Nothobranchius furzeri: one gene and its partners. The protein of the gene in region 1 interacts with the protein of each later gene in a pairwise test. Links are inferred from orthologs where the notes say so. Each region holds a gene or a part of one and is shown in the gene's direction. Other genes may lie near its edges. The genes, in order: rgs19, gnao1b and gnaz.

Region 1 (3,755 bases):
TGCAAGAGCTTGGTGAAACTTTAACGGCAAGGCAGTTTAATTTGTCTGCATAGACGGCATGATGACGGGGGGACTTTACAGTAAGTATACAAAAAATATGTATAAACTACAGCCTAGAGGTTCTTATATGCAATGTCAGGAATCCAGAACTGTCAAGTACACAGGTGGCAGGAATGGCCAGTCACACATTAGCAAGAATCAGCAAAGCCAATAGATGAGCCTATGGACAGTTCTAATAGCAAACAGGCTTTTTAAATTTGATTTTGGATTTAAATGCTACTAGAGCTGGGGCACAACCGTTTGCAGCATAGTAGCTAAAATCATCATCACTGACCCAAGGTTCTACCAGCTGACTGTTTCCTAAGGATCTCAGAGCCCTGCTGGGCGTAGACACCTGAAGGAGTTCGGACATGTATTCTGCCCCATGCCACTGAGGGATTTCTAATCTATTAGAAGTACTTAAAAATGAAGGCAACACTGGATGGAAATAAAACTTGTGACACTGCAGACGGTCCAAAAAATATTTGAGTATGTGTATGTGTGTATATATATATATATATATATATATATATATATATATATATAAATATAAAATATAACAAATGTATAATTCATTGCCTAAGCTTGTGGTTTATTTTTAACCCCCTTTTAGTGTGTAGCAGAAAATACTCCAGGTACTCCGGGTTTTCTGCATGAACGAACATGTGGCTCCGCGCATGCGCTGTGTGGACCGTGCCCGCCAGGGTGGTGATCTCTCTCTCTCTCTCTCTCTCTCTCTCTCTCTCTCTCTCTCTCTCTCTCTCTCTCTCTCTCTCTCTCTCTCTCTCTCTCTCTCTCTCTCTCTCTCTCTCTCTCTCTCTCTCTCTCTCTCTCTCTCTCTCTCTCTCTCTCTCTCTCTCTCTCTCTCTCTCTCTCTCTCTCTCTCTCTCTCTCTCTCTCGCGCGCGCGCGCTCGCGCTCGCTGGGAAAATCCGAGCAGGAGGAGAGCGGCGGAAGGAGGAGGAGGACTCCTTCAGACACATCGACACAGGAAGGTAAATAAAGAAGATAGGACTCCAGGGGCACGTGCCCCGGTTCCCCGGTGCGGGACAGCAGGGCAGAAAGCCGTCTCACAGATGTGTCTCCGACAGCGCAGCGGATCCCGCCCTCCGAACCGTCCTCATGCCCAGATTGTGAGTATCTGCTGCTGAGCGGGCTGGAAGTTGGGAGGGGAGCTGGTTTCAGGTCTCCTTGGTTCCTTTCCTCCTCCCCTCTCTTGCCTCCTTCCTCCGCCGGAGTGCCCTTTCGTTTCTTTTTTTCGCCTCCTTTCTCTTTGCGAGCGGTGAACGGAGCGAGCGAACCCTCCGGTTCGCCGTTTTCCGCCTCACTGATTCGGTTTTCTTCGTGACGTAGAGTCGAACGGGGGCGTTTCTGCCCCCCTGAGCAGAAAAGTAGCGGTTACCTTTGTTTTATGCCTGCTGAGGAGTCACCTGTTCCCGGGCCTCTGGCTCGTGGCACCTGGGTCATTCCAGAATTCAGGGACATTTTCTGTCCCACCCACTATAATCAAACAATCCATGCACAAAACCCTAAAACACATATTTACCTTCTAAATTATTGTTTTTCTTTAAAACAACTGTAAAATATGTTTCTAAATAACTTTGAAAATGCAAATGTCAAAGCTCCCTAAAATGCTGTTTTTCTCTTGTCCCACCGATGTCAAATAAAATGGTTAAAATACGTTTTAAATATACTTTTTTGCCTCATTTTGTTTACATGTGTTTGTAGTAATTGTTAAAACTATTACTATGATCATCAACGCATTTAAATAACACTAAAACAATGATTAATATTGCGATGACGATATTACTTGCGATAAATTAAAACTTAACTCAGGAACAAAAATAATCAAAAACAAAGAAGAAAAAATTCATAAAAATTAGAAAAGCAAAAGATGTGAGGAAAGGGGGGAAAAACGAACAAGAAAAGGGAATCAGTGGATCCCGGGAAAAGCAGAATCAGCAGAAAGAGCAGAACAACGCTAGCTCAGGTGTTTACTGTCAAAATTAAGTGTCGTCCGCCTCGGGGGCGGGACTCTAACCCAAGAGAACCCACCCAATTGGCCAAATGGGTGAAGAGCTCCTTGTTGATTTGTTAAAGAAACATCATGCTTCCTTTTGATAGAATCCATTATGCGTAGCAAACATCTGAGCTGGCCATTCATTGCGATTAGGGCTGCAACTAATGATTATTTTCATAATCGATTAATCTGTCGATTATTTTTTCGATTAATCGGTTTGTTATTGTTTAGCTATTTAACCTATACAAGTGATGAATACATTTCAGTTAAGAAAAAGAAAAACATAAGAGAATTGTGCAGTTGACTGCAATCTATTTTATTGCACATGAACACAGTCAGCGTTGTAAAAGAATAATTTTTTGGCATCAAAATATGAGAGGTAAATTCCATAAAAATAATGTAGAATCTAGAATAGAGTTTGTAAGTGGTATGCATTGCTGGGGGGTGAGTGTCTTGTTCCCCATGTAGTTGTCCATCATTGCTTGTTTTTTTCTGCATAAGAAACACAAATAGACTGAAATAAGTACACATATAAAATAAAGCAGCACACACACTACAACACTCAATCAATATTACATTATTTGAATTAATTAACAATATACAGTGATCATTTATTTTGACAAAAATGTGTTGTGAGGCGTTTTACAGCGTTGGATAGTAAAACAGCCTTTTAATAGTAAAAAAGGACTTTCTGAATTTCTCCTGTATTTAAAAATTGAAAGCGTACAACTATGCCGCGTTATATTCACCTGGACACAGCTCGTCTGTATATTTTTCTCCGCGGAGTTGTCCTTTTTTGAATGAGGAACATAGTTATGGGTTTGTGCCGTTTTTATCTTAACGAGAACATTCTTATAAACAGATGTGCTAAATTTGGCAAGTGCATGATACACAACACGGAGGAGATTCACGATTGCATCTAGCCAATCAGAAGTAGAACACCGTAGACTGACGCGGCAAAAAAACATGTTTAACATCCACTATAACGAACTCAGCTCCCAAATTTGATCTGCGTTAGCTTGTTTATTTTCTGTTACTTACCGGATTTACCGGACTTTCCTCTGCTGCATCAGCCCCCACATGTTTTCGTCTCAAATGTTCACTTTGGGACGTCGTGCTTCCGTGCCATGCTAGATGGTTTTTGCATATTTTGCAGGTCACCCGTCTTTTCAAGGCATCTAGAGTGAAGTGCTCCCATACTTGTGAGGTTTTTGTCCGGGGTTTCTCTTCAGTTTTGTCGCTTCTATTTTTCTTCCGTATTTCTTCTTGTTCCGCCATCTCTCACAGCAAGATGAGCGTCAGTAACGTGATGCGTCGTGAAAACCGAGGGCACTTATTGGCTCATTTCTTCTTCTACGGCTCCACTGGTAGATCAGTGGCTCATTACTGCCACACACTGGCGGCAAATTTAACAGATTGTAACAGATGTCAGATTGTGGTAAAAAAAGACTTTATGCGGTAAAATGTGATTAGTAAACAACTAATCGATGACTAAAAAAGTTGTTAACAATTTTAATAATCGATTATAATCGATTAAATCGATTAGTTGTTTCAGCTCTAATTGCGATGTTTATCTGTTCTTTGCGATATGCGTGTTGCGCATGCTGACATCGAGATAATGATATATTTGCGATATATTGTGCAGCTCTACTAAAAATGCATGGGATTTGTGTCCCACAACATATGTTCAACCCTGT
Region 2 (3,755 bases), on another chromosome or scaffold:
TTTCTCATTTATAATGTAAGTTTGATATTTTTTTTACATTTGGACAAAGTTTTTTTAGGAAGCATTTTTGTTGAAAATTTTATTTCCTTAATGTTTCTGATGCAAAATGACCAAATTTAGCTAATTTTAGCGGTAGGAATATTTGACTTACCGTTTGTATAAAACGTGTGAATTGGAATTTTTAGCAGAAATGTTAAATAAAATGTGTTTTCGTATTGTTTTACCATGTAGCCTAGATCTGTGTATAAAAGAAAGCCCACAACACTAGTGGGAAGCGTTCAATAATTTAAGAAGGAATGACTGACATATGTCAGATTTTCACTGAGCATAAAAACGGCCTTTTTAGAAACTTGCAATGTATATTTCCGCTAAAATAATTGAACAATCGATGCCTTACATATCCATCTTATGATTAAAACTCTTTTAAGCTCGCAATATATTTTAAATTCGATACGATGCCATGTGACCGATTACACACCAACCCACCTTAAATCAGAATTTTCAAAAATGTAATTTAAATCGACCTATTTCTGAACAGGAGACATGTAAAACGTTGTTGATTATATGCGGTAACAGCCTGCCATACCACCTCCTGCCAGCCTTCGTGAAAGTATACGGTGAAATCGCTCGTGCTCTCTGTCATCATCACCAGCGCCGCCCTGTAGAGAGATAGAGCTCGAGACCCCCCCGCTCTCCCCGCCTAACAACAACCCCAACCCTGCAGGCTAGCGCACAGCGACCCCACCCCCCCACCCCCCTCTGAGAGAGGGGACGGAACGGAGAGTGCACATTCACGGAGAGAAGACTGTTTCGGGATCCCGGCTCTATTTTCCGCTCCGAATCCGGGCCTATGCTGTAGCAGACAGCGCGGGAGGAGAGCGAGACTGAGAGACACCGCGGCGACCGAGAGCAGGAGAGGGACAGGGCGGACTGGGGACTCGACGGGACCGCTCATTCGCCTGGAAACATGGGGTGTACACTGAGCGCCGAGGAGCGCGCAGCTCTGGACCGGAGCAAGGCCATCGAGAAGAACCTGAAGGAGGACGGGCTGGTCGCCGCCAAGGACGTCAAACTGCTCCTGCTCGGTAAGGGAAGCGGCGGCGCGGCCGCGGGGCTGCTGCTGGGACTGCGTGGGGCGGAGGTGCTCTCCGTGGTACTGATTTCAATGCCTGCTCTCTCTCTGCCCTCCGTTCTTTGCAGGCGGCGGAGAATCCGGGAAAAGTACCATCGTCAAACAAATGAAGTAAGTGTCAGCCTGATTTGTTTATTTATTTATATCATATCGGTATTCTCCAACTCAGCCGGAGTGAAAGGCCTGAGATTGCGCCTCCCCTGTCAGCACTAAGGCAGGTTGAGCCGCCATGTTTCCGAGAGGCCGAAGCCCCGGAGGAGCACCGGTGACTCGAGCACCTCCTGCAGACCGTCAGCAGGGCTGCGGAGGCCGCCGGTGCGTCCCAGGGTGCTGTTCACTGCCGGGGTGCTGAAATGTAGTTAACGAAGGTTTTGCTTGACTACGGGGAGTGTGCCACTGGGGACGTGTGTGTGTCTGTGTCTGTGTGTGTGTGTGTGCAGTGTGTGTGCGCGCGTGCGTGTGTGAATTACAGTGAGGTCACTGCTGTTCCATTAGTGAATACCTCTGCTTTTAATCTTAATGGCTTTAAGTGCCTGATATCGCCGGGAGTACTTTGCCTATAAAGCGGATTTACGCAGAAATATGGCTCCTAAAACCGCATCTAAACCTTTTCGTGTCTGAGCTAAATGACTCTTTGGTGTTTTAAACGACTGCTTTTGTTTCATGTAAACCTCTTAGTCAAGTTTCTAGATGTTTCTGCACAAAAAACCAGAGCTCTTTCACATTTTGTCCCGTCAACCATGCAGCAGCTCTTTTGTGAGCAGCATCTGAGTGTCTCCTCCTTCCTGCTCTGCTCTGCACTCTGCATCGACTCACTGCACCCTCCCTTTTTCCTCTTCATTACCCTCCCAGAGCTCCCTGGTTGTCCATAACTTACTGCTCTGCTCCGAACCAAGATGCTGGTCCAAATAGTGTTTACAAATACTCTCCGGGCTTGCTTTAGCCACGGGCCAGCAGCAGATGGATGGGTTTTACTACATGCTCTGGGTCATAAAGTCTAGGTATCGGAGGGTTCATGCACTGGGCTTTGCTGTGATTCTTTGCCTCATCCTCATCACCATCATCTTCACATCCAGACGAGCTTCTCTGGTTTGGCCCATGAGCGAGACGGTGGAGTCATGTCCAAACTAACAGGGACGAGTTGACTTCAAGAACAATTTAAAGGGCGTTGTAGATTTTAATAATTACTCAAGTAGGCTGCTGTAGAAACATCAGCGGTTTATTTTTTAACTACTGCTGATAAGTTATTCTTTAAAACCAATAACAACAACAATAATAATAATAATAATAATAATAATAATTATTATTATTATTAGCATTTAGTCTTTCCAAATGTTCAAGTTGATAATATTCATCTGTTTGCTCCATAAAGCTTCAGCCTCAGCTCATCCCCACCCCCCCTCCCCTGAGGGTCAATTTATTGTATTTCATAAAACTGTTAATTGTGATGATGGTGCTGGAGATTCAGGCCAGGTGGCTGTAGTCGGCTGTGAAACATCTTTTCATAATGTGCCCTGATGAGATGAAAACAATCATCCCACATCTTTTCTTTTAACCCCACCCCTCCTTGCTGTACGGCGGTGAGAATGAAGTAGCTGTGGGAGTGGGCTTCTGGAGGATGTTTTATAGATCTGGTCAGGGTGAAGATGTGCCGCTGATGGATGCTTTAATGCTGTAAGAAGTTTAACAGTCCAGAGTTGTGGAGCCGTGATTGATCAGTGGTCTGATTGATTTCAGTTCATGAATTATAAATGACTGAAATATCACATTACTGCCCGGTTACACATCGCAGAGAGAGAATATGACCATTTCCCGTTAGGCTCATGCTTAGATGAGAGAAACATGGGGAGAGGATGAGAACAAACATAATAAAATAATCACTACACACACACACACACACACACACACGCAGGCCTACTGAGTTTCATAAAAACCTGGGGCTTTTATTGTAACAAGATAGCTGTTTTGTAACGCAGGAACATATGGACATTTGCAACTTTTTTCCTGCTCGGTCCAGGCTTTGATAATATCTCCGTACGCATGCAGGATTATCCATGAAGATGGCTTTTCTGGGGATGATGTGAAGCAGTATAAGCCAGTGGTCTACAGCAACACCATCCAGAGCTTGGCAGCCATCCTCCGAGCCATGGATTCCCTCGGGATTGAGTTTGGAGACAAGGACCGGAAAGTTAGTCTCACTCATATCCTACCAAGTTTTCTAAAGATTAGCTTTGCTTTTCCTAAAGATAAAAAAACATTTTCTGGGAATATTTGACCTGTGACAGTAAAGAAATGACTGCAAATCATCCCAGAAAGTCGTTTGAGCTGCTGGTAAATAATTAACAAGCAGACATTTTTTCTTCTGCTCCTCTGAACTTATGAAACATGTTTCATCCAGGCCGATGCCAAGCTGGTCTGTGATGTCGTCAGTCGTATGGAGGACACGGAGCCGTACTCCGCAGAGCTTCTCGCTGCTATGAAGCGTTTATGGGCCGACGCCGGGACTCAGGAGTGCTTCAACCGTGCCCGAGAATACCAGCTTAATGACTCTGCTCAATAGTGAGTACAGCAAAAACACCTCCTAAAAGCCTCTGCTCAGAAATAACATTGTGCCACTAATCCA
Region 3 (3,655 bases), on another chromosome or scaffold:
AGCTGTCCCATCCTGCAGCAGCACGAGTTCCTTTACATTTTCCACGTGGTGGAGGACCATGGGGTGCCGCCAGAGCTCGGAGGAGAAGGAAGCAGCGCGGCGCTCGAGGCGAATCGACCGCCACTTGCGCTCGGAAAGTCAGCGGCAGCGGCGCGAAATCAAGTTACTGTTGCTGGGTACCAGCAACTCGGGCAAGAGCACCATTGTCAAGCAGATGAAGATCATCCACAGTGGTGGCTTCAACCTAGAGGCCTGCAAGGAGTACAAGCCTCTGATTTTGTACAATGCCATTGACTCACTGACCCGCATCATCCGTGCCCTCACCACCCTTAAGATAGACTTTCACAACCCTGACCGCGCCTACGATGCCGTGCAGCTCTTTGCCCTCACAGGTCCAGCAGAGAGCAAAGGAGAGATCACCCCAGAGCTGCTGGGGGTGATGAAGCGTCTGTGGGCGGACGCTGGGGTCCAGGAGTGCTTTCAGAGGTCCAATGAATACCACTTAGAGGACAACACGGCCTACTACCTGAACGACCTGGACCGCATATCTGCGCTCGAGTACATCCCCACTGTAGAGGACATCCTGCGCTCCCGCGACATGACCACAGGCATTGTGGAAAACAAGTTCACCTTTAAGGAGCTCACCTTCAAGATGGTGGATGTGGGTGGACAGCGTTCGGAGAGGAAGAAGTGGATTCACTGTTTTGAGGGCGTGACTGCAATCATTTTCTGTGTTGAGCTAAGTGGCTATGACCTCAAGCTCTACGAGGACAACCAGACGGTAAGACTAATCTCTTTAAAGGACCCGGTTCTACACACACACACACACACACACACACACGCGCGCACACACACACACACACACACACACACACACACACACACACACACACACACACACACACACACACACTTACTTGTTAATTGGCTTTGTGTTTCATCTTATGTAAGTTAATTATTGATGAAATCATAAATATAGTGGTCATGATTCTCAGTCAACCAGATGAAGATAATTTTGTTTTTAGTTACAAAACCATTCGCCGGCTTTTTGGCAGACACAGCCGAGATGGAAATTTTCAGAAATAAACAAGTACTGTTTGGAACAAAAGATTTATGTCTTCCGAGAAACAACAAAAGTTTGTTCTGCTGTGTCATTTCCTCCCTGTAGATCCCCTACTACACTAAAAAACAAAATACCCCGGAACACAAGCAGGTCTAACTCAGACTATCTGAGTTTACATAATGGCAGATTTATGTTCGAAGTTAGTTTATCTTACTTTTTGAATCCTTTTTTATTTTACAAGATGATTTTTTATCTAATGACTGTAAGTACAAAAAGAAATGTGTTGTTTTATATGTAATACATATTTAATATGTATTATACGTGATATTAAGTTAAAGAAATTGGGGAAAAAATCTATGTAATCTTTATAAAACAACAAAAATATGAAAACTGGCTCATTTGCTTTACATTGGAACAAGTTCTTTGTTTCCAAAAGATGTTGTGTGTTGAGTTTCCTTGCCTTTGAACCATGATGCCTCTAGTTATTACAGCAAACATGCAGCCACAGTAGATCTGTGGTAATGGAGTATTTCATTACTAGTTAGCCCCATCAACTAATTCATTGTTTTTTACTAGACAGCTAAATGTTAAATTGAAGCTGGAACAAAAAACATCTGCCCAGTTTTAAGTCTTATTCCCTCAATGTAAACAAATGGAACGTTGTTCTTTTTAAAAAGTAAAAAAGTGGCCAACTTAGTGACTTTTTACTATATTTAGAAAGCCACTAGGGAGAAATCTAGCTACTGTCTTATTATTGGAGAATCATGTCAACTTAAATTAATGCTTTCTTTCAACTCTAAACGTCAAGTTGTACAAATATGATAAATAATAACTATGCATTGTTATAATATTATATTGTGAGTTGAAACAACAAATCTTGTTAGATAACCAAGTGGAAAAACATTTTGTCTTGTTAAACATACCCACAGTTCTACTTTATCTTAACTTATAAATTTAAGTTAGACATTGATGGTTGTCCATTCAAATTACAAGTTAATGTTAACTGGACAAATAGAATAATTGTTTGAACTCGTGTTACCAGCTGTCATGCCAGCAGGGACCTAAAGTCTCCTCCCTTTCCGGTCGGCTCATGGGACCCCGGAAGAATGAAAAAAATCAATGCAAGTCAACGGGGCTAAAAACGCCATTTTCTAATCTGCTTTGCTTTAGACCCTGGATTGCACATATGTTGTACTGCAATTTAAATGAAAACTAATGATGGGTGTTTCCATCACACCTGTCACGTACTTTGAGATTTATCAGTTTGTAAAAGTTCATAATTAGCATGACTACAAACCAAACATCGTCACTTCGCATATGTGACGTCACCACACAATATCTTCTCCTCTAGCGTAACTGCTACTTACCAAATGTCCAGATTTATGGTGGTTCTTTCCTCCTGAAGGAAGGATTTGAAGTTCACTGAACTTACAGCCATTTTCCCTCTGTTTTTCTCCATGTCTGGTTCAATGACGTCACTTCCAGGAAGCGTAATTGTAGTCCCGGACTTATTTTCATACAAAACCTAAAATAGCTTTTCCTCCAGTGCAAAAATAAGCACTTTATTGGTATCAAAATGCATTTTTTAAATTCACGGACAACATATGTGAAATCCATAGAACATAACAAGCGGAATCAGAAATAATGTTTTTAGCCCCATTGACTTGCATTCATTTTTTCATTTTTCAGGGGACCCATGGTCCGGAAGTTGATGGGCATGACTTAGGCTGGCCATACAGGCAAAGGGTGATGCAGGAAGCTAACAGCAACACTGTGTTTCTCAATGTCAAGGTGCCTGGCCACCAGGCACCTTGCTTACAAGGACACTGTACTTCCTTGGTCAAAGAAAACGGTTAAATGGAACAGGCGTTCATCATGTGACTGTGGCTTCCAGGGCAGGCACATAACATTACGTGATATGGGAGATGACATTATATTTTAATCGTATAAGCTTCAATATAAATATGTCAAGCCAATTACTCTTTAAATTGTTTATATATTTGTGAAATTAAATATATATGTGAGTTACTACCCGCTAGCCACCAAAGCTGCAACTAGTAAGCAACTAACCAACCATAGATAACTTCTTTGGATCTAAAAAAAACCTTTTAAATTAGTTGACTTACTTTTAAACTTGAAATTTGCCTCCGAAGCTGCTGGCTTCTGATCTGCCATCCTTTTGAAAATAGTGCAGTGTAATTTGGGAAAATTTTGACCCAGGCTAGGCTACAAGACACCTCCTGAGTATCCTTGCTCAGCTAGCTAAACGGCTAACAATTGAAGAACACATGCCTCGATAGAACATGAACATTGGAACACGTCTTCGCAGCTCCTGATGACGTATCTCCTAGGTAACCGGGGTGGGGCCAAGACATCAAGGCGAGGTTCCTTGGCTTTGAGAATCACCCAGTGAAAAGTGCTGGCTAACTCGTGCCTCATACACCACATGACTGCAGTGGGAGTGGAACACAAGGAGAAGACTCTTGAGCATTTTGTGTGAACCACCCCTTTATTTAATGCAGTGAAGTGGAATGGCACAACGTTCTTATTCCTACAACCTCCTTCCTCACTTATGATGCCAACATGACAACA

What was found.
Region 2: the proteins of rgs19 (region 1) and gnao1b interact in a two-hybrid assay, tested with the Homo sapiens proteins (2 studies listed by BioGRID). The link is inferred for Nothobranchius furzeri from reciprocal best matches to the Homo sapiens genes RGS19 and GNAO1.
Region 3: the proteins of rgs19 (region 1) and gnaz interact in a two-hybrid assay, tested with the Homo sapiens proteins (2 studies listed by BioGRID). The link is inferred for Nothobranchius furzeri from reciprocal best matches to the Homo sapiens genes RGS19 and GNAZ.

Annotation. Positions count from the first base shown.
Region 1 is NC_091755.1:43,015,940-43,019,694, reverse strand, and holds the start of rgs19 (regulator of G-protein signaling 19), read left to right. Parts: upstream 1-904; 5' UTR 905-1,114; coding exon 1,115-1,171; intron 1,172-3,755. UniProt on the Homo sapiens protein: Inhibits signal transduction by increasing the GTPase activity of G protein alpha subunits thereby driving them into their inactive GDP-bound form. Binds to G-alpha subfamily 1 members, with the order G(i)a3 > G(i)a1 > G(o)a >> G(z)a/G(i)a2.
Region 2 is NC_091749.1:60,166,360-60,170,114, forward strand, and holds the start of gnao1b (guanine nucleotide binding protein (G protein), alpha activating activity polypeptide O, b), read left to right. Parts: upstream 1-817; 5' UTR 818-967; coding exon 968-1,085; intron 1,086-1,200; coding exon 1,201-1,243; intron 1,244-3,178; coding exon 3,179-3,320; intron 3,321-3,530; coding exon 3,531-3,691; intron 3,692-3,755. UniProt on the Homo sapiens protein: Guanine nucleotide-binding proteins (G proteins) function as transducers downstream of G protein-coupled receptors (GPCRs) in numerous signaling cascades.
Region 3 is NC_091746.1:50,897,205-50,900,859, reverse strand, and holds part of gnaz (guanine nucleotide-binding protein G(z) subunit alpha), read left to right. Parts: 5' UTR 1-58; coding exon 59-781; intron 782-3,655. UniProt on the Homo sapiens protein: Guanine nucleotide-binding proteins (G proteins) are involved as modulators or transducers in various transmembrane signaling systems.